Coturnix japonica: one gene and its partner. The protein of the gene in region 1 interacts with the protein of each later gene in a biochemical or structural test. Links are inferred from orthologs where the notes say so. Each region holds a gene or a part of one and is shown in the gene's direction. Other genes may lie near its edges.

What was found.
Region 2: of the proteins of PDGFRB (region 1) and receptor-type tyrosine-protein phosphatase eta, one has a biochemical effect on the other in vitro, tested with the Homo sapiens proteins (2 studies listed by IntAct). The link is inferred for Coturnix japonica from reciprocal best matches to the Homo sapiens genes PDGFRB and PTPRJ.

The regions. Positions count from the first base shown.
Region 1 is NC_029528.1:4,808,905-4,824,642, reverse strand, and holds part of PDGFRB (platelet-derived growth factor receptor beta), read left to right. Parts: intron 1-7,849; 5' UTR 7,850-7,878; coding exon 7,879-7,927; intron 7,928-8,778; coding exon 8,779-9,075; intron 9,076-9,184; coding exon 9,185-9,454; intron 9,455-9,737; coding exon 9,738-9,865; intron 9,866-10,174; coding exon 10,175-10,349; intron 10,350-10,881; coding exon 10,882-11,074; intron 11,075-11,296; coding exon 11,297-11,412; intron 11,413-11,927; coding exon 11,928-12,054; intron 12,055-12,217; coding exon 12,218-12,429; intron 12,430-13,061; coding exon 13,062-13,156; intron 13,157-13,428; coding exon 13,429-13,561; intron 13,562-13,957; coding exon 13,958-14,062; intron 14,063-14,167; coding exon 14,168-14,278; intron 14,279-14,470; coding exon 14,471-14,624; intron 14,625-15,487; coding exon 15,488-15,654; intron 15,655-15,738. UniProt on the Homo sapiens protein: Tyrosine-protein kinase that acts as a cell-surface receptor for homodimeric PDGFB and PDGFD and for heterodimers formed by PDGFA and PDGFB, and plays an essential role in the regulation of embryonic development, cell proliferation, survival, differentiation, chemotaxis and migration.
Region 2 is NC_029520.1:16,577,361-16,593,868, reverse strand, and holds the start of receptor-type tyrosine-protein phosphatase eta, read left to right. Parts: upstream 1-7,920; 5' UTR 7,921-8,021; coding exon 8,022-8,084; intron 8,085-16,508. UniProt on the Homo sapiens protein: Tyrosine phosphatase which dephosphorylates or contributes to the dephosphorylation of CTNND1, FLT3, PDGFRB, MET, KDR, LYN, SRC, MAPK1, MAPK3, EGFR, TJP1, OCLN, PIK3R1 and PIK3R2. Plays a role in cell adhesion, migration, proliferation and differentiation.

The DNA.
Region 1 (15,738 bases):
AATGCATCCAAACACAGCTGGTGCCACCCCTCTCCACTCATTGCTCTTAGTGGCCCCCCCATCCCTGTGGGCCAGGCCAGCACGGAGGGGACATCTGTGTGCTGTGCTCAGTGCTTGCACCCATTCAGGGTGGGCCTCTCCAAGTGGTTGCACAAGTGTGGGCAATCACTCAGCTGTCCTTGGGGTCTCCAATGCAATCAGGTGGTGGTAGGTCTGAAGCAAAGCCTGGTCTGCACGTCCTGCAGTGCTGTGAGTCACAAAAGGACTTTTGGAGACATTGTGGAAACAGGGCATCCTGCTCCTGTGCTCATCTGCCAGCAGGGAGGTGCAGCTGGGGGTGCAAAGGGATATTTTCTGCTCCATCCCTGCCCTGGATCACCTGGGGCTTCTGCTAAAGCATCAGGCAAAGAGCTGAAAGCAGTGGGTTCAGCACTAAGGGCTGCAGTTGGGAAACAGCCACCAAATGTCCTGAGTGCTTGCAGGGGGGTCCTACTGGTCTCAGTTCTGGGCATCTCCCCATGAGCAATATGGAGAGGGGGGTGGTTTTATCCTCGGGGAGGAGCGAGCAGGTTGGGAGCAGCAGCCCACTGAGCTTTGGGAGGAACTATTAAATGTCTGTACATGATCTTGAGAGAGAAGAGCCCAGGCAGTTTGTGCTGTGGGAAAGGATCTGGAGGCTTTGGACACAAACCAGATTGCAGCGCGGCATGGGGAAACCAGCAGTGCTTCCTGTGGGACTGGAAGGAGCAGGGCTGGGGGCAGAGCCAGCGCAGAGCAGTGCTGAGGGATGGACATGGGAGAAAGACTTGGGGAAGACACAGAAGGGGCTCAGAGCATGCAGAAAAGGCTGCAGGGGGCTGATGGAGGGGGCTCTAAATAGGGGTGGGTGCTGGAATGGTAGCATGAAGTATTTGTGCATGGGGAGTGCAAAGGAAAAGGTCAATGTGTAGTGGTGTGCAGGACTAAGTTCTGGTGGGCAGAGCACCTTCAGCACTGCAGGTTTGGGGGGACATGGGTGCTGCAGCAGGGCAATGAGTTCTTGGTATCGTTCAGGCTCCAGTTTGGTGGGTTCTCAAAGTATCCCAAACAGTAGTGTTACAGAGTGAACAACATCCCTGGGATTAGGGCAAGAAGTGTCTGTGAGGATCAAACATTAGGGGATGCTCTCCAGCAGCAGATGCCAAGTTGAAATAGGATGAGTGCTGGATGGCCAAGCATCTCCCTGCATGCAGCAGCAAAGGGCAGGGAGCAGGAGTGGTGGTGGCTGAACAACTGCTGGCCCTCAGCCACTGGTGGTGGCATTGGTGCTGCCTTTGGCCCAGAGCTGGGGACACATTGGGGACCAGTGGGCTGGATGAATCCCATCACTGTAGGCTGGGGCATTTTGTGCAGTCTGTTTGTTTGTGCTTGAAATGAGGGGAAGAAATCCCCTGGAGAGGAGCTGAGGGGAGGGTAGAGGTCGGGGATTGTTCCCTGGGGGGCTGGGGTGCCTCCAGAAGTCTTCTTCTGCTCTGCCAGGCTGATTGGGCATAATGAGGCTTGTTTTAGGGCTTGCTTAATTAGGATCCCCTGAGCCAAGCGCACCTCTGTCCTGTTCTGCAAGGACGGCCCTTCCTGGAAGTGCAGCACTTTCCTGGAGCAGAGTCAGCTGGGACAGGGATGGGGACACGTGCCAGAGATGAACAGAGGGGCACTGGGACAGGTCAGGGGGGTCCCATGGGTCCGTCCCTTTCCTTATAGCAGGGGATGCTGGCAGTGATGTCCTGGCCCTTACACCCTTCTTCTTTCTCCTCATCTCTGGGACACAGGCTGTGGAATATTGAACAACCGTTTCAATATTCCTCATGAAATCTCGCACAGAAATGATGCTGCCAAGCAAGCAGGAGGTGTGCGGTGCTGCTGCAAAGCAGGGATAGATGTGCAGGAGGTGCCTTCCCTGCTAAGGATGGGGACTTCTCCCTGCATCCCCTGTGGACTACAGCAAGGAGCAGGGCCCCATCCTGCTCTCCCTCTTCCTTCCCCCTCCTGGCCCGTCTGCCATGCAAAGGAGGTTGTGACTGAAATCTTAATGCTACTGAGACACAGTAATTGGCACCAATTAAATTGCTACATTCATGTTTGAATTGCTTTAACTGGCGAGACACACTGTCTTATTTATACAAAAAAATATGTTTGCTTGTGGGTTTGGCTGAATCGGGGCCAGCAGAAAATAAACCATTGCAAGCTCTGCTCTCTGAAAGCACATTCTCCACTTGCAAACTGAAAGTCACCTCAGTTTCAGGGTTTGCTGAGCGAATGGCTGCAGAACAGAACCCTGCTCTGCTCAGGGCACTCCTTGAGAGGGTCCCGTCCTCTCCTGCCAAGTTTCTCTCTCCAGTGTGGGAGCGGATGGGGAGAATATGGTCTGATTCAGGAAGGCAAACTCTGGCAGGCGTAGGACTTGGTGATTTTAAAGCCGGGTTTGGAGAGAACAGGTGGTGGGTCTGTGTGATTCGTGGGGTTTTGGAGGTGTTTGTAGAGCATCGATGCAGAGAGAAGCTGGGGTGTTCTCTCTTGTTCTGTGAAGTGGGCCCCAGCTTGCAGCACAGGGAGCTGGCAGCTTGTCCCTGCTTTGCAGCAAGGAGAGGGGATGTGGTATTGGGTCTGAGCAGGGGGTGCGGGATCAGCCCCAGCAGCAGGGCACTGCATCAGGCCCCATCCCTCACGTGTGCTGCTGCCTTTGACACACTGGGTCCTGCTCCTCATCCCCGACCACAGAGCTGTCATGTGGCTAATCCTGGCCACGAGAGCCTAAAACCCCAGAACAAAGTGATTAAGCTCGGGTCCCTCGCAGGCAGCGGAGAAGAGAAGGGCCGATGCAGCCACGGGAATTATTTCCTCCTCCCTGGCAGCACCCGCATCTCATGGACATTTTCAGTTGAGGATCAGGTTGCTCTCCCTTTGCAGGGTCGTGGGGCTGGGGATGCAGCAATGCTGGGAGGCAGAACACAGGGGGATGTCTCTATCTGTTGTTCTCCCCTTGGTTAGTGGTTAATTAGAGCCATCCAGGACCTTTGGCCCCAGACCAGCACAGTGGGGGACACAGGGTGCACGTACCTTAGCAAAGAACTTAGCTTTCTTTGCTGAAGCAAGGGAGGGAGGAAAGGCCTGAGGTGCCTTCATCCCTGCATCTTCCCCTGATCCTCTCCACCCCTACACAGCTGGAAAAGCATCAGGCAAGTGGATGGGGACACCCCGAGGTGACCCAGATGTTACAGCCTGAGGACAGAGGGGACAGATTGCTCTCCAAGCAGCCACTACCCAGCAGCTCCCAGGTTTTGTTGCATGGCTGGAGGCATCTATTCCTGGGGCTGGCAATGAAGTGATGCCAGGAGCTGTTTGGGTGCTGCCCTGTGGGCTGGGGGCACTGCACCCACATTCATTGCTCACGTTGCTTGTGGTGTTTGCTCCTAAGATGTCTTTACTGTCAGGGATGATGGAGGAGTTGGAGGATGACCCTGGGCAGCTTGGTGGAGGGGGGCACCGGAGAAGCGTGAAATGCTCCCGAGAGACACATTTGGACCCCTGGGTTGGGGTCACTGCCTGCAGGGAGTGAGCTCTGGGGCTCAGCAGATCCCACTGCTCACACAAGCATCTTGCGTAGTGTGTGATGCCACAGCTTGGTCCAGGTGACCAACAAGCAAAAAGCAAGGCATCCCATCCCTCCTTCCTGACCTCAGTTGAGCCCCTTGCTTCCCTCCCAGGGTTTTCCCACAGCCTGGGCCAGGTTTGTTGGCTCCAGGGAGCAGCCCCGTGCCCGGCCTTCTTTCCATTAGCGGAAGCGGGGGGAGCATGCGCAACCCAAAGGGCCACGAATACCAACACTCAAGGCTGGGGGATTATTTATAACGCTGGCCCAGCTCCAAACAGATGTTTCATTTTATTCTGAACTTGTGCTTAGATGGGTCACTCATTTCCTCTGTCTCCCATGGGCTTAAACCAGAGGGGGAAAGAAGGGATATTAGGGTTGAGCATCCCTCAGTGTCATCAGCACAGGGGTAAAGCATCAGGACCACGTTTGCATCTGCAGGCTGATGTGCAAAAGGAGGTTTGTGTTCCAGGGACTGCCCATGGGACCCCCAGGACTTCCCAGTCCCTCCAGTTTCAGGTTTCCAACCTCTGTGTTTTATCATCGGCTGTTTACAGGCTGGGGATGACGGGCTCCCCATGTGCGCGCTGCCTAATTCTAGCCATGTGCTGGGAAAAAAAAAGGGCTCTGTGATGATAATCTGGCCTGTGAGTAAATGCGGTGTCATGGGAGCCGAGGGACCCCAGAGGAGAGATGTTGCAACTCCAGCCAGTTCCAGCCAAGGGGGAAAAAAAAAAGCTCAGTTTTATTTAGATTAAAGGGTGGGAAAGAAGCAGTCGCAGAGGCGGGGGGAGGGTGGCAGAGGGAAATGGGACAGGCCAGGGAGTCTCACTGGTGGACAAGCAATGCTGGGGTCTCAGCAACCTTTGCCTGGGGAGCTGTTCCCCTCTAAATGGGGTGGGATGTCTCCCCTCCCCAGGCCAGGAGGAGCCCCCACACTATGGCTGTGCTGGGCATCGATCCTGGGATCCATGCAGGGCTTTCTCATTGCGCGCGGGCATCCATGATCTCACTTAATGACTCAGATGAGTTTAGACAAAGAAAAAATAAAGTGTGTTTAACTTCCCGCTAATTCACACCAGATGTCCTTTGCCTGCTTGGCAGGACCGCGGGGCCAGCGAGCACAGTGGGAGCGCCGGGAATCGCAGCCTGGCTGCAAATGGAAAGAGAGAGGAAAAGCGAGGGCAGCTGGTTGTGCTGAGAAGGGTTTTGCACCCTGGTTTCCAGCAAGCAACACGTCTTGCTGGTGGGCTGTGGGTCGCAGGGAGCTGAGCTCTGCTCAAGGAGCTGTGGGGCTGCAGGATGTGCAGAACCTTCCCTTCCCTGTGTGGATCTTGGCAGGCTGCTTCCCAGCTCCTGCAGCACTGGGGGTGCTTGTGGGACCCCTGTGTAGTTTCTCTGCTTGGTTGTGGGTGAGTGGCAAGGAATGTGGTCAAGGAGTGCTCAGGCAGTGGGTAGCAAATGGTAAGGGTGTTGCTTGGTCCCATGGTTTAAAGCTGGTCATCTGGTCTGACTCCTCTACAATGAGCAGGGACACCCACATCAGCGGCTCTGAGCCTGGTGCTTGAGTGTCCACAGGGTCAGGAAATCCACCACCTCTCTGGGCAACCTGTGCCAATGCCTTACCATCCTTACTGTAAAAAAACTTCTTCTTTATATCCTGTCTAAATCTCCTCTCTTGAATTTGAAACCACTCCCCCTTGTCCTGTCAAATACCAACAGGGTTTCAAGGCTGAGTCCGCACAGTGTGCTTTGGGCATTCTTGTTCAGACAAGATACAGGTCTGGGATGGAGGAACAGTAATAGATGAATGAGGTTTGGTGAAGCTTGAGATCGTCAGTAAGGCACTGTTATGGGGAGAGGTGGCAGAGATGGTGGAGGAATGACCCTCCCTCTGTAGGGATGAGACCATCCCCAGCTGAGGTTGGGTCTGGCATTTCCCCACCTCCAGCATCCTTGAGGCTGCCATGAGGAGCTGTGAGCTGCAGTGAGGTCCCCCCACAACCTCCTGGCTCTGGGCTGAACAAACCAAGGGCCCTCAGCTGCCCCTCACACCTCCTGCTCTCCAAGCGCAGCCTGATGGCCGCCCTCTCCTCTCCCAGCCAAATTCCTCTCTTAGAATAATAAACAACACAGCTCAAGAGAAAACGACCAGCCTGCCCTTGTGTCACAGCACCAGAGAGGGGCAGGGGGAGGTTCTGTGCTGGCACTTGGGGACTGCAACAGGGAGGAGGGGCTGTGGAGGGTCTCAGCACAGTGATGGGAGCTGGGATGTCTCCTTGGTGCCTGCTGAGGAGCTGGCATTGCTGCAGGGTGGGGATCTTGCCCACGGGATGTCCCATAGTTAAGGTTGCTCAGCTGCTGGTCCATGGGAAGGGTGTAAGAATCTGAGAGGTCTGTGACCCCATTTTCACTCGTGGGGCTGGAAGGAGATAATCCATGGCATCTGAGCACTGTGTAGGTGATGATGTTTGGGTCCAAGGATGGGATCACATCTGTGTACCTGATTCTGGATGGCTGGGTAGCGTCACTCTCACTTCGGGTCGTTGTCTGGCACTCATAGGGTGCATCTTGGTGTTCTTGCAGATAACAGAATCTGAGGCTGAGGATTGAAACAAACATCATCGAGGCTGGCAGAGATCTGGGTTCATTTACATCCCTTTGTGAAATGCCTGTTTGTGCACGTGTGCGAGCACACGTTGCTGTGTCAAGGAGAGGAAGGTCTGTCTGTCTGCTGAGCAGGCTCTGCAGAGCAAGCAGAGCTCGGCATTTCCAAGCATGCCTCTCACCCCAACCGGAGCAGACAAACAAGGGAGAGGTCACAGCTATTCGCGAGATGTTGCCACCCTCCCACTCTGCTCAGGAAGCATCTCCGAGAGAAAAGGCTTTCTGCAAAACCAGCGTTTTTATTAAAACCAGCCTTGAATGCTGGGGAGGCAGCCAGCGGCAGCAGGCGGAGGCTGCAGAGCTCTTGGTTCTCGCTGCAGCCTGGATCCAGCAGAGCACTGGTTTGCTTGGCAGGGATCCTACAGAGTCCGGGGTGCTGCTGGTGGGACCGGACCTCTCTGACAGGCAGCTTGTGTCCATTTACAGCCTGAATTTCCCCTCCATCCTTTTCATTCCATCCGCCCCCAGGTCTTCCCTTTAAGAGCTGTCTTCCTTCCCAGCAAATGCAGAAGAGAGGAGTCACTGAGGGGCTTTATGGAGGGGGAGAGGCAAGCTGCTGAGTAAGCTGGAGGCCTGGAGGGTTTTGCTGGTAGATCAGGCTTTCTTTATTCTTTTTTTAAATATTTGGAGCCAAAGCAAGAGAATAATAAAAACATCTGACAAGTGCACGTCATTTAACAACCATTTCCTCCCAACATCAAGCAAAGGGAGACGGCACTTCAGGGCCAAGAGGCAGCAGACCCACTCAGTAAGAGGCAATGCCTGGGGCTGGGCCACTAAGTTCAGATTGCCACCAGCCCTCAAGGGTCCTGGGGGGCTTCACCATGGGGTCTGCCTTGGGAGCAGCTTCAAGATGTGAGAGCTCTGAACCTCAGCTTTGGCTCTGGAGTCCCTGAATCACAGCCCACTCTGTGCCTGCCACCCTGTTGTGTAGGGGATGGCTCCAGTGCTGTTAGGGAGCTCTGGCCCTGAATCTTTTGGGCTATCAGTTTGCATCAGGAAGGGCTGGGCATGCTCCATGGAAAGGAATTCTTGAGAAATGTTGATAAAAGGGATTTTAAAACAAAATTATTCCCTGAAGATGCATATTTATTGAAATAGAAGAAATTCTCTGGTTTGGGGGGGGGTTCTTTACGAGGGGGGGGGGGGGGGGGGGGAATGTTTTTGGATGCATTTTCTTTTGTTGAAAGAAGCAGAAATTGTGGGAGGACTGGAGGGGTTGTCTGTTTTTTAGCAAGTTTTATCTCATTGGGACTGAGGGAAGTGAAAACTAATAGGGAAAAAAGGCAGAGGGAGGGAGGCAGGCAGTGCTCTGCAGGTTGGGGAGAGGCATTTTGAGCTGTGATGACCAAGAGCTGACACAGCTCCTGGAGCCTCCAGCCCAGTCCCTGTTTCCCAGCAGGAGATGCCTTAGATCTGCTCCTTCAGCAGATCCAGCACGAGGGAGAGCCAGGTCAGCAGCAGGAGGGAAAGGCTGAAAACTGGAGAGTGGGGAGGTGGAGAGGGGACCCTCAGCCCTGTGGTGCTGCATTAATCCTGCTTTGTTCCTAACAGGATTGGGCCACTGGGCCGTGGAGCCCAACATGCTCTGTCCCTCTCTGAAGGCATCACTGCAGCTCCTCATCCTCACTGGTGAGTGGTGGCCCAGGGAGATGGGATCGGGGACTCGGCCCCTCATGGGGAAGCTGTCTGGGGATGCTTCCATCACCGGGGTGATGAGGAGATGGGCAATGGCACAGGGAGGCAGAGGGCTGCACTGCTTGCATCCGTTCTTTCTGGGTCTACCGGCTCTGCTGACACAGTCCTAATTCTAACCCTTACTCTAACCCTAACCCCATCCACAGAGACACTGTGGGGGAGCGTGTGCACTTTCCCAGCCCCACTGGGACATCTGCATGAAGCATAAAGGCCAGGAGACATGGGAAGCTGTTCAGGAAGACCTTGCCTGCTCGATTGCTTCCATAGGATTTCCTGCAAGGCTTTGCTTTCATTCCTTTTTCGCTTTCTCTTAAATGTTGTTTCAGACCAGCCTGTGTCATGTCTAGCACTATCTCTGTAAAGAGGGAGCCAGCAGAGCAGGGAATTAATTCCTTCATCTCCTTCTCCCCCTGCCCACCAAGGCATGGCGTTTCTGAGCTTCTGATGATGCAGCTGAGACCTACCTCTGCTTTATTAGACCAGCTCATTTTTAGGTCAGCAGGACTATATGCTGTCAGCTCCTCAGGCCCAGTGCATGGGATGTATACAAGCAAACATCTGGGAGATGTCTAGGTCCCCCTGCTTCCAGCCCTGTCCTCGCCAAGGATGTCCCTTGCACTGGTGTAGCAGCAGCACAGCAGCCCTGTTTGCACCCTCTGTTTCAGTGGGTGCCTGAATCCCTCCCAGGCCAGCCTCCTATTCCTCACCTCCTGATGACACTGGGCATTACTAGTCCTTGGATTTCAGAGATGTCCAATGTGCTCTCACCTCTTCCTCTGTTCCAGGTCTGTTGGTGGTAACGTCTGGGGACAGTGGGCTGCACATCGAACCTGAAGATGCTGAGCTCGTCCTTAGCCTTCACAGCACCTTCTCCCTCATGTGCTATGGGGACAGCGCACTGGTCTGGGAGAGGGATGGTCAGCCTCTCGCTGCTGTGCTGGAGCACAGGGACGGGGTCTTCGTCAGCAACCTCACCCTCAGGAACGTGACAGGCCGTCACACAGGGGAGTATGCGTGTCTCTACAGCCCCGACCAGGCTCCAGAGCGAGCAGAGAGGAAAGCTCTCTACATCTATGTTCCAGGTAAGGGACAGCACATCCTTGTCTCTATGTGGAAAGGCCCACGTGTGGCACGCTGGAGCAAGCAGTGGGAGAGGTCGTGGTGTAATGAGTGTACCCCTCTCTCTTATAGATCCCTCCTTAGTTTTTCTCCCTGCAATCACTTCCGAAGAGTTCTTCATCTTCATCACGGGCTACACAGAGGCCACCATCCCATGCCGCGTGACCAACCCAGAGCTGCAGGTGACCCTTTATGAAAAGAAAGTGGAGAATCCCATTCCAGCTGTTTATGACCCACAACAGGGCTTCAAAGGCTTCTTTGAGGACAAGACCTACTATTGCCAAGCAATCGTGGATGACCAAGAGGTGGATTCAGACACCTTCTATGTCTACAGGATCCAGGGTGAGCTGCCCTCATCTTGGCTTATTTCTGTAGCTGTTGTGGCCATTCTTTCAAAACAATAGGGATGGGATAGAAAAGCTTTCCTCCTGTCCCTGTGATATCCCTGATCAATTTAAGGGCTGGATTTAACCCTGTCTCTGTTAAAGAACAGGTCCTGCCAAAGTGGCAGATCTATACCTCATAGAAGAGATTTCAAGTGAATAAGTCCACCTAAGATAAATGGACTGGGTGTCTGCTCATCTCTTCCTTTATTAATCATCCCTTCCTTTGACACTTCTAACAGTCTCATCCGTGAACGTCTCCATCAGTGCAGTGCAGACCATAGTGCGTCAGGGAGAAAATGTCACCCTGATGTGCACTGTCAGCGGCAATGAGCTGGTCAACTTCAACTGGGATTATCCCCGCAAGCAGGTGAGTGCACCAACCCCAGCCTTTGCCCATGTGTCCCATGGCAGTCACTCGTCAGTATCATAGCAATGTTCAGGAAGCTTCATGTCATGGCAGATGTAAGATGTTGCTGCCATTCAAGAAGGCTCAGTGGGGAGATTCTTGTGTGAAGGCTGGCTGTCTCAGGGGCTTTTGATGCATGTTCCTTGTCCCCATTGTAGACAGACCAAGGTCTGCCCACTTCTCCTCCCTCCCCGTGAGCCTGGCTCTGTCCTCCATTGGCATGAAATGCTCTTGACTTCACACACAGTATCTCTTGTCCCCATTGTGCAGGCAGGGAAGGCTGTGGAGCCAGTGACCGACTTCCTGCCAGGATCCAGCCATGACATCCGTTCCATCCTCGTCATCCAGAACGCAGAGCTGGAGGACAGTGGGACCTACGTCTGCAATGTCTCTGAGGGCTACCATGAGAAAACAGACCGGAAAGACATCACGGTCCAAGTGATCGGTGCGTCACTGACCGTGCTCTCAAAGGCAGCAACCCACATGGGTGTTGCTCCAGAATGGCAAACTCCTCTCTCTGCACAGCCTTCAGCTCCCTCCCCTTCTCACCCCACCCTCATTAACCATGGCAAAAAGTCAGCCCTCACCCCATAGCATCCCTGCCGACTTCTTGGCTTTGACACATCCAAACTCCCCCATCTGAGATTTTGGGACTCTAATATATTTGAGGGTTTGTGTGAGAGCTCTTTTGCACTGTGCAGTGCCAATGTGTTCTTAAGTCAACCTCCCACCTACACCTGTGCTCCTTTGCGGGAAGCTGCCCATCTCTGAAAGGTGACAGCCCATTCCCTGCATGTTATCTGGCCTCTGAGCACGCCCCCATGCTCCCCTTGGGCATGGACCTGAGACCTAAAGGGATGAACCTGGAGCTGCTCCATCACTTCAGGGTGTTTGATCCCAGACCCATGGTAGCTCATAGGGATGGAGAGGTGACTGTGTCTCTCCCTGAAGCCTGTATCCTTCTTGCCTCTTCTCAGAGCGTGGCTTTGTGCACTTCCACACCCACCTGGCCAGCACGGTGTATGCTGAGGTCCACAAGAGCCACATCATCCAGGTGGATGTGGAGGCCTACCCACAGCCAAACATTGTGTGGCTGAAGAACAACAAGACGTTGACCATGGAGAGCAGCAGCGAGTTCACCATCACCAACAGGAACCTGTCAGAAACCAGGTGAGGGCACATCACTCCTAACCAGAGGACAGGGAGGGAATAATTCACAACACAAAGTGGTTGGGCACAGGATGGTGGTTGGACACGGGATGGTGGCTGAATGCTGACCTTCCTGTGAGTGGATTCTGTGCATTCCTCAGTTGTGTGGGAGCTGGTCCCTTCCAAGCAGTGTCAGCTACATGGTACCTTCCTGCATGCACTCTATGGCTGTGTCTTCTCCAGGTACCAGACATCTCTGGTTCTGGTGCGTGTGAAGCAGGAGGAAGGAGGATATTACACCATCCGAGCTTCAAATGAGGACGATGCACAAGAGCTGTCCTTCCATCTGCAGATAAATGGTGAGGATGTGCATGCAGACACGGGGCCAAGGATTGTGGGGGTAGTCCCAGGGGGTGGCTCCATCCTTTGCTCCAGGATTCTCAGCCTGAAGCCTTTACACCTATGACTACAGATCAGGGGGGGTTTTGGCCAAAAGAAGAGCATTAAAGTGAGGACAAAGATTGCCTGAAATATCTCACACCTGGTCTTATAGCCAGGGAAACAAGGAGGCAGGGCAGATACCAGCCTTCAAGTGTTGGCCCAAGGATGCAGATGCATCTGCAGATGCAGAGGTGTCCTTATGTAGTTCCTCTGCTATACAAGCAGAATAGATAGGGTCATCTGTGGTCTTCCATGATCACCTCAGCCCTTTCTGGTTTTGCTTTTAGTTTCAAAAATAAGGCACGTTTCCTCTAAGTCTTACTTCACTGTCACATCAACCCTGTGTCACAGTGAGGATCTAGGAGAACTTCCTTCCTTCCCCATCTGCATTCAACACTGAGGATTAATTCCCACCAATGTGTCTTGGTTTCAGTGCCAGCCAAAGTGGTGAATCTCAAGGAAAACAGCAGTGCCAGCAGTGGGGAGCAGACTGTAACATGCTCTGCTGAAGGGATGCCCCAGCCAGAGATCAGTTGGTCCACGTGCAGCAACATCAAATGGTGAGCAGAGAGATGGAGCCCATAGGAATGACAGGGCTCATGCATTTTTAGAAACAATAGACACTTTATTTTACTGTGTTCTGCTGGCCCACGCAGTTGGAAATCCCATGGTGCTACGTGGGTCTGGCTGCACCTTAGGTGCCTTTATCCTCCTCTGGTCCAGGTGTGGCAACCAGGGGCAGCCCACCCAGCTGCTGGGGAACAACTCTGCGGAGATTGGCCTGCACACCAACGCCACGTACCATGCAGAGCTGCAGGTGTTCCGTGTGAACAGCACCCTGCAGCTGCACAGGGTGGATGAACCCCTGCTCCTGAGGTGCACCGTGCAAAACTCCCTGGGCACCACTTTCCAAGACATCACTTTGGTTCCAAATGGTGAGCACTGCAGGAGGTGTTCAAGTCGGAGGTGGGGAGATGGACTTTCCTCTCTGTGCCTCCAGCCTGGAGGTGCTGGGAGCCAGCAGTGTCCTCTGATAGCTGCAGTCCTCAGGCAGAGAGCCTGGATATTTCTGCCCGAAAGGAAGCCTCCTTTGTGTTGAGTGGGAAAGGCTGCTCTGAGAGCAATCTGTAGCCTTCGTGCCCACTGGCCATGGCCATTTTGCTCCCACTCCCGAGCAGGGCTATCCCTCCAGGGACTTAAGAACTGATCAGGTCCCCTAGTGTCTTGTTATTAGCCCGAGGGTCACTAGATGGTGCCACAGACCCAAACAACTACATGCTTTCCCAAATAACAGAGAGGAAGGTCTCAGCTGGGAAGGTCTGACCCAGAGGAGAGGACAGGACTGTCCCCAGTCAGACTCCAGCCCAGAGGACAGCCTGGGATGGATGTGTGGACCTGATTTAAGGTCCACGATGGATCATCAGTCTGTCATTACCCCTCAGGGTTGATGTCTTTTGGGGAGGTGTGTAGCAGGAAGGGGACGATGGCTAGAGGAGGGAGGGAGCCCTCTGTGCTGGGCTATGTGGGGGTGAGAGTCTGACTGCTGACCCTGTACTTACTGTTGTAGCCTTGCCATTCAAAGTGGTCATCATCTCTGTCATCCTGGCTCTGCTGGTCCTCACTGTCATCTCCCTGATCATCCTGATCGTCCTGTGGCAGAAGGTAAAAAAGGGCAGCATTTGGAGGCTGCTGCAGTGGTACCCATGTGTCAGAGTGAATGGGGAGAGCAAAGCTGTGAGCTTCTACCTGATGATGTTCCATCCATATTGGAAATCATGGGACTCTGTTGGCCTCCTGCCACCTGTAGGCTAGACATGAAGGTGGCAATGACTGCAGAGGTCAAAGACTCCCTAACAAAACCCATCCACAGGCCCCATGCCCTCCCTGTCCTTCAGCTTCTCAGATCTCCCTTGTCTCTTTGCTCCCCTCTCCAGAAACCTCGCTATGAAATCCGCTGGAAGGTGATCGAGTCAGTGAGCTCTGATGGGCACGAGTACATCTATGTGGATCCCATGCAGCTCCCTTATGACTCCAGCTGGGAGGTGCCCAGGGACATGTTGGTGTTAGGTAAAGGCTCCACAGGTCCCTCTGATGAACCTTGTCTGTCTTGGGGTGATGGTTTTGGGTCTGGGATCTCAAGAAGAGAACAACCCAGGCAGGGCACAGAGATCCCTGGGACATGAGGTGATCCTGCAGCAGAGGGACCATCTGGGGCTGCTTTGGGAAGCTAGCTGCTCCCTTTGGCATGAGGCTCATGGTCATTCCTGTCTCTCCTTCCCTGTGGCTGGCAGCTCCTTCCCTTCTTAATTAGTCACAGACCATTTACAGTGCCAAACATCCTCCCTCTCCACCACTGCCATTCTCATCAGGGTGGCTGGTGCCATTTCAGACAAGAGACTTGCCTTTCCCAAGGTCCTGTTCTTTCCTATCCTCAATGATCACATCACCCTCACCTCTCCGCAGGACGCACTCTTGGCTCTGGTGCCTTTGGACGTGTGGTGGAGGCAACAGCGCATGGCCTGAGCCATTCCCAGTCCACCATGAAAGTAGCAGTCAAGATGCTCAAGTGTAAGTTCCTACACTGTCCCTTTCTCCCACCCCAACACCACAAGGCTGGATGATGCTCAGCTGCTCACTCCTCACCTTGCCACTCACATCAACTGTCCCCAACAGCCACTGCCCGGAGCAGTGAGAAGCAAGCTCTCATGTCCGAGCTGAAGATCATGAGCCACCTGGGACCTCACCTCAACATTGTCAACTTGCTGGGGGCCTGCACCAAAGGAGGTAACTGAATGCCAGCTGTCTTCTCCCTGCCTTTCCAAACAGAAATAACAAGTTCTGACAATGCTCAGTCCCAGCAAAAGGCAGCTTTTCCTCACATCCTGCAATCCAGTAATGGCCCTCAGGGACAAAAATCACTGCCCCAGGGAGCAAACAGGGCCAAGTAAAGATGACATGAGTGCTCTTTTCCCCCAGGGCCCATCTATATCATCACTGAGTACTGCCGTTACGGGGACCTGGTGGACTACCTGCACCGCAACAAGCACACCTTCCTGCAGTCCTGCGGTGAGAAGGCCCGCCGCGAGGCAGAGCTGTATGGGAACACTATCAAGGAGGACCACGTGCAGAGGTGCCTGGAAAGCAGCCTTCTCCTCCTCCCTGCTGCCTGCACCATCTTAACCCACACCAATGAGGGAAGCTGGTAGTGCCAGGAAGAATCCTTCATTTCCTTCAGGCCAGTAAAATAAATGCTGGCTTAGCCAAGGGAGCATGGTTGCCCAGTGTCACCCTTAGCCAGACAGCCACCTCCAGACAGCTCCTGGCAGGCAGGGATTTAGCAGAGGCAATTTGTGTGTGCCAGAGGCTGATGCTAACACATACCCTGGCTGCTCTATGCCAATTGGGAATATTCCCTGGCAGCATTAACTTTACTAGCACAACAGTAGCCACTCACTGAGTACAGAGAGGAGTTTCTCGGCACATCTTAGTCTTTGGAGACCTCAGCTGTGCATTTTCAGGGCAGGTTGTGTTGCTACTGTGCCTAAGGGAGAAGTGCTAGAAGGAGTGCAGTTGCACAAGAGGTGCTAAGAGGAAAAGGAAACAGTCCTTCATCCAGCTGCCAGCTGTAAGAGATGCAGACACATCAGTGCAGAGAAACACTCCCATGGGAAACAAGAAAGCAGCACTTCCTTCCAGCACACAAAAGCAACAGTAAAACAGAGCAGCGTTAGGACATTATCACAGCTGCCCCCTGCACTTGAAGGCAGCTGAGATCCTCCTAAGAACAAAGCACAGGCTCACAAGCCCCAGAGTATTTATTATGGAAGGAGACCCCCAGTGCCATTTATGTGCCACAGAGCTTCTTTCCCTGCTGTGAGACATTTCAGTGCTGGGGCTAAGGGTTCAGGAGCTGCAGTTCTTCAGATCGTTTCCCCCACAGTCTGCATCTCCTGCCCTTCTCTGGGCTTGAATAATCTCTTTTTCCCTTTCCAGTCACCTCTCCTTGTCTGTCGAGAGCGATGGGGGCTACATGGACATGAGCAAGGATGAGTCTCTGGATTATGTGCCCATGTCTGATATGAAGGGTGAAGTCAAGTATGCTGACATCGAGTCTTCTAACTATGGCACCCCGTATGAGCTGGACAGCTATTCCCCGTCAGGTAACAGCTCTGCTGTAGTGGAAGGGAAAGGAACTTGCATTTGGGTGCAGGATGTCTTTGCTTACAGAACTGGAGGGGTCAATA
Region 2 (16,508 bases), on another chromosome or scaffold:
ACAGAATATAGTCTGTACTGTCATTGCTCTTCTGCACTATTTTACTTTGGAGTTAGTTAGCTCTGTGGAGATCAGCAAGGAGAACAAGTAAGAAGATAGCAGATGATCACATTTTTGTATCCTGCAACAGCATGTATTCATGCAGGCACATAAGAAAGAAAGCAGAAGCTTTCAGTTTGAGGAGAGCAGAATATTCACCCAGCCTTTTAAAGATTTCAAATAGCTGTAAAATCACTTCTTGTCTATTGCTGGTGAGTACTTGTCAAAGCAAGTTGTGTTCGATCTATCAGTTTCTAAGGGATCTGTGCCTCTGTGGCATGGATCCTCACAAAGGATTTATTTGTAGTTGTTGATGTGGCTTCCTAGACTTTTGGGCACTTGTTTTCTTGCAAAATAGAAGCAGAAGAGTGCATTGTTTATCTAAGGAATTGCAGGTAGAAGCATCACAGGCTGAAAATGTTAATGCAAAAAGCAATCTGCTGGTCTGTCATGTTTGTTCTTATGCAATTGCATTTTATCAGAACATGAGGGAATAGCAGTTTCAGTACTTCATTGTTTGTTTTGTCCTCATTATTTCAGCTAGAGTATAATGAGCTTCTTTCCAGTAGCACAGTAGCATCACATATATTACACTGATGGATCAAGTAGTAGAGAGCAGGTTAGTTTGTTTTCTTGTTCTGAAGAAAATAGGTATTAGGAAAAAAAACAAAAACAAACAAACAAACAAACAAAAAACCTTGTCTAAAAACAGAAACTAGAATTTTAGAAAGGAATATAAGCAAACATGGCATTCAGGTCTTATTGAGAATTGAAATGCTGGTATAAGAATCTGGCCAGCTAAGTCTCAGCATGTCTTGTGGGATGATTAGGGCTGTGGTGCCACAGCAAATAGCAGCTTATTGCCATAACATCATTTCCAGTCAGACAAGGCAAGTAAATAGACCAAGATCAGAACACGTGATCAGACATTAGAATCACAAGTGCAGGAATGCATATTCAGAACCCGGGAATTTAGCCATGCTAGCTGTGACGTGAGCTGATAATTTTCTGTCAGCTCTTGTTTTCTCCCCAGGCAGATGTCCTCCTAGCCTCCTTGCCATCCCTTTTCAAGCTCATTTCTTAGGCTTTATTGCCAGGATGTTTGAAAACACCTCAACTCAACTTATAGGGGTTTGAGCACAGTAAGAAGCACCCAAGAACCACAAAAAGGAGGCTTAGGGTGATCTTGGTATCCCTGTGTTAAACACCAACACTCCAGGGACTCACTCACAACTTCCTTGCTTTTTACCTTTCTGATTCCTGACACTTCTTGTATACTCACATAAAAAGCAAGAGTGGTCCAGCTTAAAGCTGGTATCTGTGCAAAACAATACTGGCTGTATGTAAAACAGGACACTTGTGCTCCAGTCAGTAATAATATTGCTCAAATAACTGCTTCTGCTGCATGATTACAGTATGACAAAAAGAGTGCAATGGAAAAAAAATCCATGCTTCAGTGCTGTTTGTGAAATGAGTACAAGACAATGTGCCTCTGTCAGTGTGAGGGGCAATCTCTGCAATGGAACAAGAGAGTTGAATGACTATTAAAACTAATCACGTAGGATATTAAAAAAAAAAAAAAAAAAAAAAAAAAGTTTTTTCTTATGTCAGTTAAGATGCATCATCCTTGGCAAACATCTGCAGTTTTGCATTATCTCTCACTATTTGTATTGCTTGGGAAGATGAACAAAAGACATCATAAAATCCTTGCATTCAGATGATGCTCCCCATGCCTTCTAGTTTGGAGTGCTGAAGAAAAGGGAAAAGGAAGCTCATCAATTCTGCTATAGATTTCAACAGATTTGATTTATAAGTCTTTTAACTTGTTCCTTCTTAAATATACTGACATCTATCACTTTGGGATTTGAGTGGTCATCTGTGACTAGAAATGTCAGCTTTCAGATTCTAAAATCTTTGTTCTGTTGAAGTTATAAGTCAGTTTGGCAAGTGGTTTCACAGACCACAGGTTTTGCTAACAAGTTCCTTAAAGCTTCAGTTATTAAAGATGGCAAGATTGCTGTAGGGGATTATGGCAGATGGGACTTCTGGACAGTAGAGTCTAACCAGCCACTGCCTTGTTCTACTGTCCTGTGACAAGTCACCAGTCGTATCCACACCTGATATTTTACACTGTACAATGTGATGATAGAACCAAGGGGAAATGGCTTCAAGCTTGAAGAGGGTAGACTTAGATTGGATATAAGGAAAAAATATTTTACAGTGAGGGTGGTGAGGCACTGGAACAGGTTGCCTAGAGATGTGGTTGATGCCCTGTTCCTGGAGACTTTCAAGGTTGGATCAAGCCCTGGGCAACCTGATCTAGCTGTAACATCCCTGTTCACTGCAGGGGAGTTGGAATAGATGACCTTCAAAGGTCTCTTCCAACTCTAAGGATTTTATAATTCTTTGACAAGTGATTTCACTTGTTCAGTACAGCAGACTCGGGTATTGTATAGGTTTCTGGCACAGCTTTGGAAATTAGTTTTATGTTATTCCATTTGTAAGGTGTCAGTTACTGGGTGACAGTTTCTCTTGAGAATCTTAGAGTTATTGAAAGTGATTCCACTAAAGTTTCATATTCTGAAAACTACTGATGCATTTTAATAGTAAGCAGGAGATTGATGAGGGGGGAAAATGGTAAGGTGGAAGAGAAGGGCAAGTTATTCTATTTGCTGCCCAGAATCCCAGCTACGCTCAGTATTTCCCACTCTTGCCAGTCACTGCCTGTTTGCTCCACATGCCATCCTATATATATGTCCTTCATTTATGGAGCTGCTGAGTTACAGCCGTGCCCTTTGGTTCTCCCTATGGAGATTCTGTCATGGTATCTGAGTAGCAAACATTCTGATGTATGCTTATTGTGTTAGTAGCAGCCCTTTGCAACCCATGATATTACTCCTGTATGAAGCCTACATAGGATTGCATTCATGAGACAAACTATATGACCAGAACCTCTTCTCTATGCCTGTTGAAACCAAGTCCATTTTGTTGCTGCATAGAAGACAACCTGCTTTTAAGTCTGATGTCTCTTTGAACTTCAGTCACTTACAAAACATCTTCTGTTGTGATGGAAGTAGTTCAGATGCCGCAGATGCTTTGGAGTGTGTTAGTCTGTGGGTTTTTAATGCATATTTTCCTCTCAATTATTATGTAAAAGATATCCTTTCCACCCACCTCCCCTCCCACACAGGAAACTGGCCGCTGAATGAGCATGATAGATTGACTGAAGGTGTTTCCCACCTCTGAAAGTTACTTTCAGTTTCTGCACTTTGAAGCCTGTTGAAAGTGAGGTGTTTCTTGTTGTTTTTTTTTTTATTAAAAATAAAAGCTTTTTTCATGTTGTTCTCTTTGCTAACCTCCATTGTGGCAACAAAGTGCAGAAAAACCAAGCAAACCATCTCCCGTCCACATCTTCTCCCGTGGTCAATATTAAATCATTGCAAACCTGCCCTATGATGCAGAATTTTACTTTTGTCTTTCAGAAAGTGCTTTTTAATGTTCCCTCTGCTCATGTTTTACCATCCATATTCAAGATGGTCATGACAGTAGCTCAGTATGCCTTCCATTCCTTGAGAATAAAGAGAAAGCAAATGTACTGCTTAGGAGTTAAAATACCGCACAGCAGTCCCCAGTCAGTACCTCTGGCAGCTACAGACTGTGGAGAACTTGTGTGAGCAGAAACCAGGTTATATCCACATCAAACTTCTGAGATGTTTCAGCATCAATTCTAATGGTAGAACCATCCCAGCTGCTGCTGAGTTCAGCATTTGCTGTAGATTCTTCATTTTCTGCCTGCAGCTAGACTGGAAAGTCCACAGCACCCATGAAAACTTTCACACCTCTACCTTGTCCATGTGAGTGCAGCTTTGTTTCCACACATCGCTCTGCTCTCAAGGATGATTGCTAATTTTATGCCCAGAATGTATGTAGCTTAAGGGCCCTGAGCAATGATAGATGGGTCAGAAGACCATTTGTCATTCTGTGTGAGTAACACAGGTCCCACCTTGCCTGAATCTGTGAACTTGCAATGGCAACCAAGAACACAGCATTTCTTGGATCACAGTCTGAAATCATATCACGGAGTGTTTCCTCTCTGCTAATGGCAATAGCAATATTCTCTTTCCCCAACCTTTTCCCCATCTTACCTACTTAAATGGCAAGTAATGCTAACATCTGTTTTGTGCTGCGTGTTTATACAACACTGTCCTACAGCAAGGCTCTGTTTTGGACATTACTACTGTAAGCAGCTAAGAAATGTTCTGCTAGGTCAGGGCATTGATGAATCCAGCCAGCCCAGTATCCTGCCCCCAGCAGCATTAGAAGGTGCTGTTTAGGAAGAGCAAACAAACCTGACCACTGTCTCAAGTCCATTCCTAGCATCCACTGTCATACACTGGGGATGTTATGGATTCATCTCTGCCCTTTCCCTGTTTATGGACACATTGTTCATGAGTTTGCCTACATCCATTTTGGACCTGCTTCTACCAGTTGTCTTTAAAACCTACCATGACTACAGATTCCACAAGTTCACTACCTGCTATGTAAAAAAGCATTTCATTTTATTTGTTCTAAGCCAGTCTCACACTATGTGGTGAGCAATCCCTAGTTCTAGGTGGGATTTATGAATAACAGTTTTTCATCCATCCCATTTCCAAGTAGCTTTCTCCTCTCAGTTGAGAAACCTTATCTTTTTAAGTCTCTGTGGGCCAGCTGCCCCCCTGTCATGGGCGCAGGTAGATTTTCGCTTAACCCGTGACAGTCTCCCCATGTAAGACAGCTGCACCATCATCAGCTATTTTATCTGCCCTTCTGAGTGCCTTCCCAATGTCCATTATGTCTTTCTTGTGATGCTGAGATCGGAACAGCTCACAGGATGTGGGTGCACCTGGGTTTTGTATATTGGCAAAAAGATGCTCTCTGCATTGTTCTCCACACTCTTCCTGATGATGCTCAACATTCTGATGCCTCTTTTGGCTGACACTGCATCAAGCTGATGAATGAAACTGTGAATAACTAATGAGAATATGCTATTGTGACGGAGGCTGGCTGTGGGATGAAGTTAAATATAGCTGTGCTGATTTATTTATTTATTTTTAAAGAAACTATTTAATTGCCAGTTTCAATGAAAGACAGATATTATCAGCCAGGGTGACTGCTCTGAATTGGACAGCTTTGGATTACTGTATACTTTTGCAGTCTTCTCTTTCTCTCTGCCTGGAGTGTAAGTAATACGCCTTACTGTATAAACTATAGCACCCATAAGTAATACGCCTGCACATTCCTCCTGGATTTGTGTGCAAGAGCCCAAGGCCACTTTTAAACTTCAGTCTCTTGTTCAAAAACTTGATTATAAGGATGTGAAAACACTTCCCTCTGATGCTGCCTTTTGAAGACGTTTATGACTCAGACGCACAAATTAACTTGTGGATGAAAGTGCACTAGAAGCTCTAGCCTGGGAGCAACACCAACCTAGTTCTTATAATCCTGACACACAAAGCTTTCATATAAGCCTGTAGAATAAACAAAATTTATCTATAGAAACACTTAGGCAACCGCAGTTGTAATGCAGGGAATTTCCAGCAGATTAGTATTAATCTGTGAAGAGCCCGTAGCCTGAAATGCAAACTTGAGCCTCTAACTCCTGGGAAATTATTGTTTGTGATGGATATTGCTGCTCAACAATTAACAACAGGAAGACTCATAAAAAATCCTGGGCTTTTAATTTCTCTTTTTCATTTTCAGCATGTGAACTCCCAAATTCTGGCATGAATCTGCAGCTCATTGCTGTCCAGCTCTTTCCCGTGGTCTGCACGGCCAGCATTCAACCAGAGCATGCTGCGAGGACCAGAGGCCTTGATCCAAGGAAGCTCTCAGGTCCATGTGACCTCCGTGGAGCTCTCAAAATGTTATCAGAATAGCTAGGAATATTCATCCAATTATTTTAAACAGTCCCAGGGAGATAAGTATTTCTTCAGCTGCTGCACACACAAAAGTTTGCTACAAACAAAACAGAAATCGCACTTCTTGGTTGTTTTTGGGTTTTGTTTTGTTTTGTTTTGTTTTGTTTTGTTACAAAAAAATTACACTTTTTAGTGCATTATATTTCTTGGCACTTCATACTGTGGCCACCTTCAGCATATCTGAGCTTATTCAACTATCAGTGAATCCTGATTGCTCGCTTCTTCAGTGCAGGCAGCATCATAATGCCAGATGAATAGTTTTTGCACACAAGAAATGCTTCTGGAAAGTAGTTAGTCCTTTGAGGTCTAAGAACTGTACCGTACACACTTCTCCCACTCTTTCTACTCCAGCATAACCTCACTCTATAAGGAACGATGGCAACGGCAAGGCCACTGGTTACAGTTACAGTTAATTATATGCACTTAAGTTGTATACTCCAATCCCAGAACTACTCTGTTTCGCTACACCTAAATTTCTTAGTTCATTATGACTGTGCATGCCTCAATGATGAGACTTTCTCCCAAAACTTCATAGGCCTTCTCTGTCAGGTATTGGACATAGGAGTAGTTGTGAGAACTCAGCCACAAGTATTTTATGAAAAAGTGATTATCATGAACTCTGTATAGGCTGTGCATGAAAAGCTCCACCAGCTCTACTGGATCCAGACAGACATGCTTTGGCAAAAGAGGTTTGGTTTGTTGCAGGAATGATACAGCTGAGCAGTTTCTGGGGCCAGGGAGTGATGTAGCATATGAAGTGCAACACTTGCAACTTCAAAGTTGGGGTATATGGCCTACAGAGGAAAGAAAAATGAGAGAATACTCAGATGTTTGCAGATGAGAACACCAACTTCAGGATTCTTATAAATTTGAACAGGTCAGAATTCCAATTCTTGCTGTCTCAGTGCATTTCGTTTTTAATGTCCCTCCTCAGGGTGGGATGTCACTGCTGCTTAAATCAGCAGAGGGATTCTCACTGAATTTTGGCACTAGCTGGGTTAGTTGGTAGGCTGTTGTACTGGAAAGGCGTGCAATTAAAAACACCACAGTGTTCTCACTCTTAGAGCTGAGGATGATCAAGTATGACTGCTCAAGTGAGGTCCCACAGCGTAACCAGGATCTGAAGCTGTCAAGGTAGCTGGTTGTATTTTAGATGCAAGTGAAACTCTGCCCAGGCAGAAGCTACAGTTCAGCAATTTAGAGCCACCGGGGCTCTTTGCAGGCACACCAGGGGGTTTGAGTCAGAGGTGGAATTTCCAAATTGTAGGGTTTGATCTGCTGAGGTAACCTCAGCATAACAACTTCACCACAGCCAGTGAGACTTCTGGCAGCTGCATGGTTCACCAGTAAGAGTCTTCAGCCAGACGGTAATTCCCGTGTGCCTCGTTCTGAATGGATAGGATAGATAAGACAGCTTTATGAATGGGTTGCATATAGTGCTTGTTTCCTCACTTGAGTGTGTCCCAAGGATTTTGAAAGTAATTGGCTATTTCCTCCTAGTCTTGTTGGTACGAAGGGATGTCCTCCTCCCGCACCAACTCCAAACTTGCGAGGAAGTGAAGACAGCGTTCCCATAACCAAAGGGAACCGTCCGTGTTTCTCACTTATCTGAAATGAATGAATTTCGGAGCAGCGCTCGAAGCCCGGGCAGTAATCGGGGTTATCAGAGTGACGGGGCTCGGCGATGCCGGGCTCCGGGAAGCTTTCGGAGGCTGCCGCTCCCTCGGCCGTCCCGGCGGGGTCTGTGATGCCGGGAGGAGGGGCCGTTTAGGCCTGGGGGAGGCGGCCCTTTCCGCCCCCCCCTGCCCGCCCCGCGCAGGGTTTCCCCCGGGTGGCGGCGGTTCCCAGCTCCGCCCTCAGCCGCGGAGCGCGAGTGGGAGGGCGCGGCGCCGCCGCCGCCTGGGAGGGCGGCGCAGGGGTGGGACGCCGGGCGGTGCGGGGCGCGCGGCCCGGCCATGTCTCCGGGGGAGGCGGCGTCGGGCTGAGCGGCCGTGTGCGCGGCGGGGATCGTTGTCCGCCACCATGAGGCTGCTGCCGCTGCTCCCGCCTTGCCCGCTGCTCCTGCTGCTGCTGCTGCCCGCCGAGGTGAGACCGCGGCTCGGGCTCGGGGGTCCGTCCGTGCTGCCCGCAGCCCGAGCGCCGCACCTGCCCCCGCGGGGAGGCCCGTGGCCGCGGGCAGGTGTGCGGCCGGCGGGCGGCTCGGGCTTTGTCCCGCCGAAGCCGCCCGCGGAGAGGCCGGGGGGCGCCGCGGCGCGGGCCGGAGCTCACCTGGGGCCGGCGGCGGCCTCCCCACGGGGTCCGAGCCCCGCCCGGCGTCGCTTTGAGGGGCGGCCGCTCGTCCACGCCGCCGGGGATGCGGAGGAGGCGGGAGCCGGCGGAGCAGCCCGAGCGGAGCGTGCTGCGGGAGTCCGCCTCGCCGGCAGCTGCGTTACGGAAAGCGGGGACGGCTGCCGTCCTCTCGCTCGGTATTGCAGCCTGCTCCGGTCGCGAGCCCGCTGGTTCATTAGCGATGTTGTTCGCTCTTCTCCCGTGCCGGTGATGCGCGTCGCCCGCTGGGCTATGGCTTTCGAGAGTGATTTGCGGGTATTGCACAGAAAAATCGTGCCGGGGCGTGGAGGGAGCGGACCTGGCAGCATCTGGCTGCGGGTCAGTCGGAGGCCTCCGTCAGCACGGCTGTGCTTCATTCAGGCCTCCTCCCTCGGTGCCGGAGCACATGCCGGCCGTTCTTCCAAGAACACCTTTTGGTGATGTAAGTCGCAGTCCCTTGCCAGGTGACGCGCCCATCGTGGCATGGCACAGACTTTCACCCCCTCCTCATCTTGGCTAATGACTTTCTAACGTTGCCATAGGTATGCACTGTGACTGCTGCAAACTCTGATGTTTCAGGGCTCACTGAACTTTTGCTTCCAGAAATACTGGCTGGGCTGCTCTGCCTCAACAGCTTCTCCTATGGAAGTGTGAGTGTGTGTGGGTATGGACCAGAGTGCTTGGTAATCTGTGGTGACAGTTCCCCCCGGCTTATATTTCAGTCCCACCCTGACAGTCACAGAATAGGATTATACCACTGCTATATTTTTAGCTATTTCTTTTCCAGTCTCACATTGGTACTCACTCATGATTGCAGACGATGTGTATCCTAAATCATTGCTTCCTCCTTGTCTTTCATTCAGCTTGAGCACCTTGCTCTGTAGTCACCTGGATGATGGAATACTGTTGTTCTATCTCTGCTTTGCTATTGTGCCAGGCTTGGAAATCTCAGTGTCATGGTCTGACAGTGCTGAAGGCAGCAGGTTTTGACGGCCTTGATTGTGATGTTAGACATACCTGTGAACATGAAGGCTTATGCCACACCTGCCCTCTTGATACTTGTCAGCACCTTGGGAAGTTTTTATCCATAGGGGCAACTGCTTGGTCTCCTGAGAGAGATGGCGGGGGGGAAAAGCCTTTTAGGGGTGGGAACTGAGTCCTTGCTGATGGCATGGTTGTGAGGAATCATTCTCTTGTTTGAATTAGCTTAATTTCAGTTTGGCACTTGTGGTTCAAGGGGGGTGACGTGTGCATGATAGGCTTGTTTAATATATTAATGCCAGCAATAAGGGTGCAGAACAAAGCTTTGGAGGGAATGATTGCTCAACATGTGGTTGGTCTTGCTGCCTGTTCCATCCAAATGGTGTTCATGTGTTCTTGTCCTTTAAAAGTCAGGATGGCATCTAATAGAGAACAGTTTTTCTTACTGTGGTTGGGTTCTTGGCACAGGTTGAGGCAGATGTCGGAGCAGGCTGATGTCATTCATGGTGTGGTGTGTGTGTGTGTGCAGGTGTAGGGATGTGGCTTGGGACTACGTAGGGAGTTACCCAGCTGATGGCTGAGGAAGGCTGCAGCTGGTGGGACCATCAGGCACATGCCATGAGCAGGCCTCACACATTGCCACTGAGAACTACCCCTTGTCTACAGCCTCCCTATGAGCCCACGAGAGGAAAGGCAGCGAGTCGGGTGGCTCAGCTGGATCTGGCCTCTGTGTTTCCTCAGATGACAGAGGTGGGGTTGGTGAGGGCACAGCACTCCTAACACAGACAGCATTGTCAGCCCAGCACACGCAAGGGCTGGGAAACGTCCCGTGCTGTGGAACGGCTGTGTCACAGCAGCTTCTCAGTGGTGTGACAGGCATATGATCTTTCTGTGGTGCCTTTTACTCAAGGATAAACATCTTCCCTATTTTTTAATTTCTTAAGAAGTTACAAAATAATGGTCAAGGTTGGAATTTCTTAAAAATAAAAACAAAAGGAAGGAACCTAGCTTTGTGCTTTTGTGTGGGACAGTGATTTGGAAATGGTCCTGTTAGTGAGATGGCAACGTAACATCCACTGCTCAAAAGTAGTAGACTTTTAAGCTCCAGTATTTTTGTTTTTCGTTTGGAATTACAAATGCTTCTTATGCAAGCCTTGATGGCCTGCTCTTACCATGTATTTCCTGCACAGAAAGTCTCAGTAATGCTGCGTGAATCCATTGCATAGGATTATGATTTAATTGCTGATTTGAATGTCCAGCTGAGGGGTTTAAATGATGCACCATCATGTTAAAATGTGCGCTTGCTATGTATGTGTTGCACGTCAATTTCTTTCCACTGTATGTTGGTCATTGTTAATCATCCTTGTTGAGCCTTCTATTAGATGAAAATCTACCTTTTAGTTTTAGTAAAATTATTCTAAGTAATCCTCATCACATAAAAGAAAAAATGTATGTTAAAATAAATGCAGTTTATGGAAATTTTTAGCAAATACTTTGTCATAGATTTACCTATTTAGAGCTTTGAAAAAGACTGAAGCTTGAGAAGTATGAGGCTGCCTACCTGCTGCTGTGGACAGACTTCTGAAGTAAAACCTTTAACAACCACCATTAGCAACACAGCTCTGGGCATCCCTGATCTGGAGACCTGAGCATGCCTGGAGTCAGGACATGTAGGGCAGAATGAGAAGCTGTGTCTCTGAACTGTGTTCGCTTGTGTCAGAGGAGCTTGGAAACGTACTTCTTATCTGTCAGGACAGGTTGTTTTCTGTGCTGACTGATGGCTGATGCTGAAATGCACTTCCATTCTTGTACTGAGCTGCAGTATAGGTTTGTTTCAAGAGCGTCTGTACATTCAAAACAAGGACAGTGTGAACACCTTCCATAGCACACAATAAAGGCGTTGCTTTCCACGTGCAGTGGATGTGTGCTGTGCCTGCATATTGCAGCACGCTTAGTTGGATTCCAATACTTGGGTTTTAGTCTCGAGCCAGCAACGCACAACAAGATATCTTCTGCATATTAGAGATCTGAATTCAGGCCCACAGTGGAAATGTTGTCTGTGCAAACAGCCACGCTATTATTAGTACTTCCTCAATTATGTGAGCTACATGCCAGGCTTTGTTGAGGATTTTCATGGCATGTAAATTTTTTTGGTTGGAGTTACTAAATATGAGAGAAATTGCTACTGTTTTAAATGTTTTGGTTGCTTACTGCGGAGGGCTGGATTCTACTAACCCATACCACTTTAATTTGTGCACCTCCATCTTCCTAGTGGAATTATAGTGTATCATAGGACGAGTATTTCAGCAGTATCATAGAGTGATGGGGTACTGGGAATTCAGTGTTTTCAGGTATGAAACCCATCTCAAGTCATTTTTCTTGCTTTCTTGCTTATTTGAAAGAAAATTCTTTCTGTGAGCAAAGGAGAGGAAAGCCATTGAATCAGCCAGTTGCGGCACAGCTGGTTGCTAGCCTGATGTGACTGCTTTTTGTCAGACTCCAAAATTTGAATGTAAATAGTACCCTGAACATCATTAAAGGTCACTGGGAGGATAGGAGGAGCTAGCTGAATTTTCTTCAGCAGAAAGGGCCTACTGCTGGAGAAAGAGATCCTTGCCTTAAATAGAACCATCAGTAGGAAATTAGATTTCAGCAGATGACTGCAGAGGAGGACTCTAATTGTGGTGGGATACAGCAAGTGAAGGTGAGCGTGTGCTAATGCAAAACGTTAGAAAGCAACGTGTGGGGAAGGAGGTGATCAGTGTGTGCAGGAAGAGAAGAACAAAACAGATGCTCTGAAAAACTGCACAAAGGCTTTTCTCTGAGTGCTTTCCAGCTGTTTCCAAATGTATCTGCAGCTGAACAGGCCCCTACTAAACCAAAATTCCTGGAGAAAACCCGAGATCAAGTGGGAAAGGTATTTCTGTAATCCAGCAAAGAATGGACACATCCGTGTCAGAACAGAGTTGAATCAATGAAGTCATGGCTCATTTAGTTATCTTCTGAGCTGCTGGTGAGCACTGGTTGGAAAAGGCAGGCAACACAAAACTGTAGCAGTCACAGTCTGATGCTGTTGGTATTTGGAACCTCACTGAATGCTTTTATGTTTTTTTTCCTACTACCATCAGCCAATTGGAAGAACCTGTCATTATTAGAAACCTGTAGTGCAGCCGTCACTCTTTTCCCACTGAGACACTCTGGGCCACGTAAAAAAGCCTCTGTCTCCACCTGCAGAAATTAGAAATGTAACGGAAGAAAAAGAGACTGTGCTTTCATCTGTGTCTCTGGGTAGTGGAAATTGTAACTACAGCTACATCCAGAAGTAGGAACAGTACCAAGCCTGCGGGGGCTTTAACTGGTCTTTGCTTAACCGTGCTCCACTTGTGGGCAAGAAGAGTAAAGCCTGCATCTGAAATGAACCCTGTGCTGGGGCATGTCAAGAAGTTTCCCTTATTTTTAGCTTCTTTTACACTGTCTTCTTCTACCTCCCATTTGTTTGGTGTGCTTCTGCCTTTTCTGACTGATTCATACTGTTCTAACCAAACTAAATGAGTAAAAGAAATACCCACAGTGCCATTGATGAGCTCTCAATGTGTGCAATGTTTTGGTCACATCTCTTAAAAAATGTTGGGGTTTTCTGTTTTCTTTATTGGAAAGACTTTGTGGTCTTTTGGTTGATTGGTTTGGTTTTGTGGTGCGCAGGACAGTGCTGTCTACATACCATAGTACTGTTTTCTTCTTACTGTGTGCCATATGGGCCAGAGACAGAACATAAGGAATAATTTCTGTGAAATTCCACCCCCACTGAAGGTAAGAAACTTCTGCTTCTAAGCCTATAAAATCATCAAGGAAAGACTTGACCCTTGGTCTGAAGCTTTGTTGTAAATTGCAGTCTGTTTATTGTAGCCTGGTAAGCAGATGCTGTCTCTTAGCTCTCTTGTTTGACACTGTTGCATTGAGGAATGAGTGAGGGTGGCATCTGGTCCTGGCTCTGTGTGTTGCTCTCACCTGAGCCTGGGGGTGCTGCAGCTCTCTGCTGCCTCAGCTCAGGTGAGGGGTGAGACGTAGGTGTCTGAGAGCTTTTTCTTGTTAGGATTTTACAGTCTGTATCAAAAACACAGATGGCTCTGTTACGAGATGCCTTCACAGATTAATTATTCACTTCCTTTTGGCAATATTCTCAGAGGTTGGTTTTGTTACCTGCCAAGCCTGCAAAGGGTTGCAAGTTGAGCCGAGCCTCATCAGGAGTGCTCCTTAGAAAGGGGTTATTTGTGCAAGCGGCTTTTGTGAAATAGCTCGTTCCTGTTACTGGGGAGCATAGCTTGGCATGTTCTGAGGGCTTCGAGTGTATCTTCTGGTGCCTCTACTCATACTGGTTCAGTGGAATTATTTTGTACTGCTTATCAAGATGAATCTTGCATAGTTTTGGACAAATTTTTAGATGGGTGGTAAGACAGGGAACAATCCATACATCTATGAAGAGCCCTGGTCAAGGTTATGCCAACACAGCTCTTGCTTGTTTGCTGATGGTTTGTGTCTGCAGAGGGAGGTGGCTCTGGAGAGTGTTTCTCACAGGAATGTGGGTGACTTGTTTCTTCATTCCCCATTACTGAGAAGCTTAAGCTGAGAGCTCTCATTATTTCCTCATGTGCTTTGTTTCTGTTAACTTCTTAATACATTTCTATGTTTATCTTCTTAGGTTCCCACACGAGCAGGTCACTATTAGCACATCTATATCTGCATACCTGATTTTGAGTCTTCATTTTCAAATTGGGATTTTTAGGGACTCTGTCGCTGGAGTCATAGAATCGTAGACTGACCTGTGTTGAAAAGGACCACAGTGATCATCCAGTTTCAAATCCCCTGCTATGTACAGGGTCACCAGCCAGCAGACCAGGCTGCTCAGAGCCACATCCAGCCTGGCTTTTCAATGCCTCCAGGATGGGGTATCCACAGCCTCCTTGAGCTACCTGTTCCTATGTGTCACCAGAGCCCAGTGAACGGCAGGAGGGTGCCCAGGAGCAGACTGGGAATGCTCTGCGCTCCCTGTAAGACAGGAGGATGCTTTGAAAGTGATGGGGCAGGGGGCAGTGGCCAAGGAAAGATACAGGTTAGTGTTGGGGCACACCAGTCTACGTAAACAGTATTTTATGTCCTGACAGCTCTTTCTGACATCAAGACGTAGCTTTGGCTGAGAAAGCACTGAGCTCTTACCATGCGCTCTGCAGTGCAGGTGGAAGATGTGCACGTTGGTTTTGCCGTAGCAGAGTGTAGCTGTGTGACTCAGCCTTGCCAGTGCTTCTGGCACAGCACTGGGTGTGCCAAGGTTTCAGTGCACTTTTCAACGTTAAACTGTGACGCTGTTAAGAAAACTGGCGTGAAGGAAAAAAACAAAACAACACGGGTGCCTGTGGTAGGCATTACATTTACGTATGCAAAATTGTGTTGTGCTAGTAAGGAAGTTTAACAACAGCCTGGGTTTTCCTTCTGCTGTGATTGTGCTCAGTTGTTCTGGCTTGTACTGCAGGAGCTTCATGTACTTATAAATAATCAAGGAGGAAATGAACGATGTTAAATCGGCAGCATCCTTTTAGGACATGAAATTCAGCTTTCTTTTATTATTTTTCTCCAGTGAAAACAAGCATAGGAGTTCTCATGTTTTCTTGATACTGCATGTAGAATCATCCATTTATTACAGAATGTAGACTTAGGGGATTATTGGCAGCATATGGCTTCTGTGATATGTGAATTATGTTTTCTAAGTCCCGGTTTTCTTTCAGCCTCCTTGCAGGATCAGACACTTCTGACAGCAGTCTTAGAGCTCCATATAAAACAACATAATTGCTTCTGGTCATGATACCAGGGCAGTGTCTGTTTGCAAAGTAGACTGTACCTGATTAACCGAGTTTCACTTTCTGTAGATCTATAGTTTAATGCAGTTCCCTTCCCACGGTCCCTAATGTGCATCTTAAACTAAACCAAAAAAAAAAAAGAAAAAAGAAGGCCTTTCTTTGGGGAAGTTTGTCATCTTTATTTCAGTTTGCATAATTCTTTGCGAGGGGAATTCACCTCTGCAGGGTAGCTCTGCACAGCTGGGCACAGGGGGAAATAAGCAGCACAGAGATGAAGTCAGGATCTGGCCTTTCTAGCTGGCATGCAGTAGGCATATGAGTTAGGCTCAGATTCCAATGGGCTTATCTAAGTACTGGAGAAAGGAGACCGAGGTGCTTTCGCATGAGATAGACAACATGACTACCTGCAGAATCAAAAGATGTTCTTCTTTCAGACTCTGCGGTTTGAAATCCAATCTCTAGAAATATTTTTGAGCTGAAAAACTAGAAAAGGGAAGATGGATTTTTTTTGAAGTCCCTAATAGACAGGACGGTTATTTTTTCTACCAAACCTTGAACTGATTCTGAATTTCTTCTTCCAGCAAACTGAAAGCACGCTGTTACACTGAATGTGTTCTTTTGAGTTATCAATCATAACTGTATTGTCACAGCTGCATTAAAATATTACAGACTATTTTGAAGTTCATGCAAAGCATTCACAGACACTGGTATTATGAATGTGTTAACTCAAGTTCGGTTTTAAAATACGAGTGTGGCGAAGGGCACGGCTGTAAGATCTGGAATTGGATCTGTTGGCTCTTTGTCCTTTCATCTCTGTGACAATACAGGTAATTGTATGCATTTAATAAATCTCAACAATACTTCCCTTTGTTTCCATTAAAAAAAAACTCCCTTTGTCCGTGCCTTTTATCGAGGACTTCATTTGAAGATGTTAAAATTTGGAGGAGGTATTTAGAAATAAAAAAGCTGGGCAGCTGACGGATTAAAAAAAAAATTGCTCTGAATCCATTTGCAAAAAGGCATTTTTTCCAGCTGAACGGTTACAGATGAAATACTGTTCTAAAGTGTTTAGCTATTCCTTTATAAGATTTTAATAGCCAGTGTCCTCCGGCATCACGTCAGTGTGTTTTTATCTCGTCGTCTCTTTCTTCAGTCGTAATGGCTTTTCATTATTGCTGGAAGGTAGTTGGTCTAAAATATGAATGTCTTAACATTGGGGTATTTTTATGTGGATTTGAGACTATGTAATGAAAGTGTAATTGCTTCTGTGCTTTTATTGTGAACATGTGCCCAATTCTTCTGTGGCACTGCAAGTTCTGATCTCTGCTCTGCACTCCATGTAAAAGATCATCATTAAAGCAGCAAATAA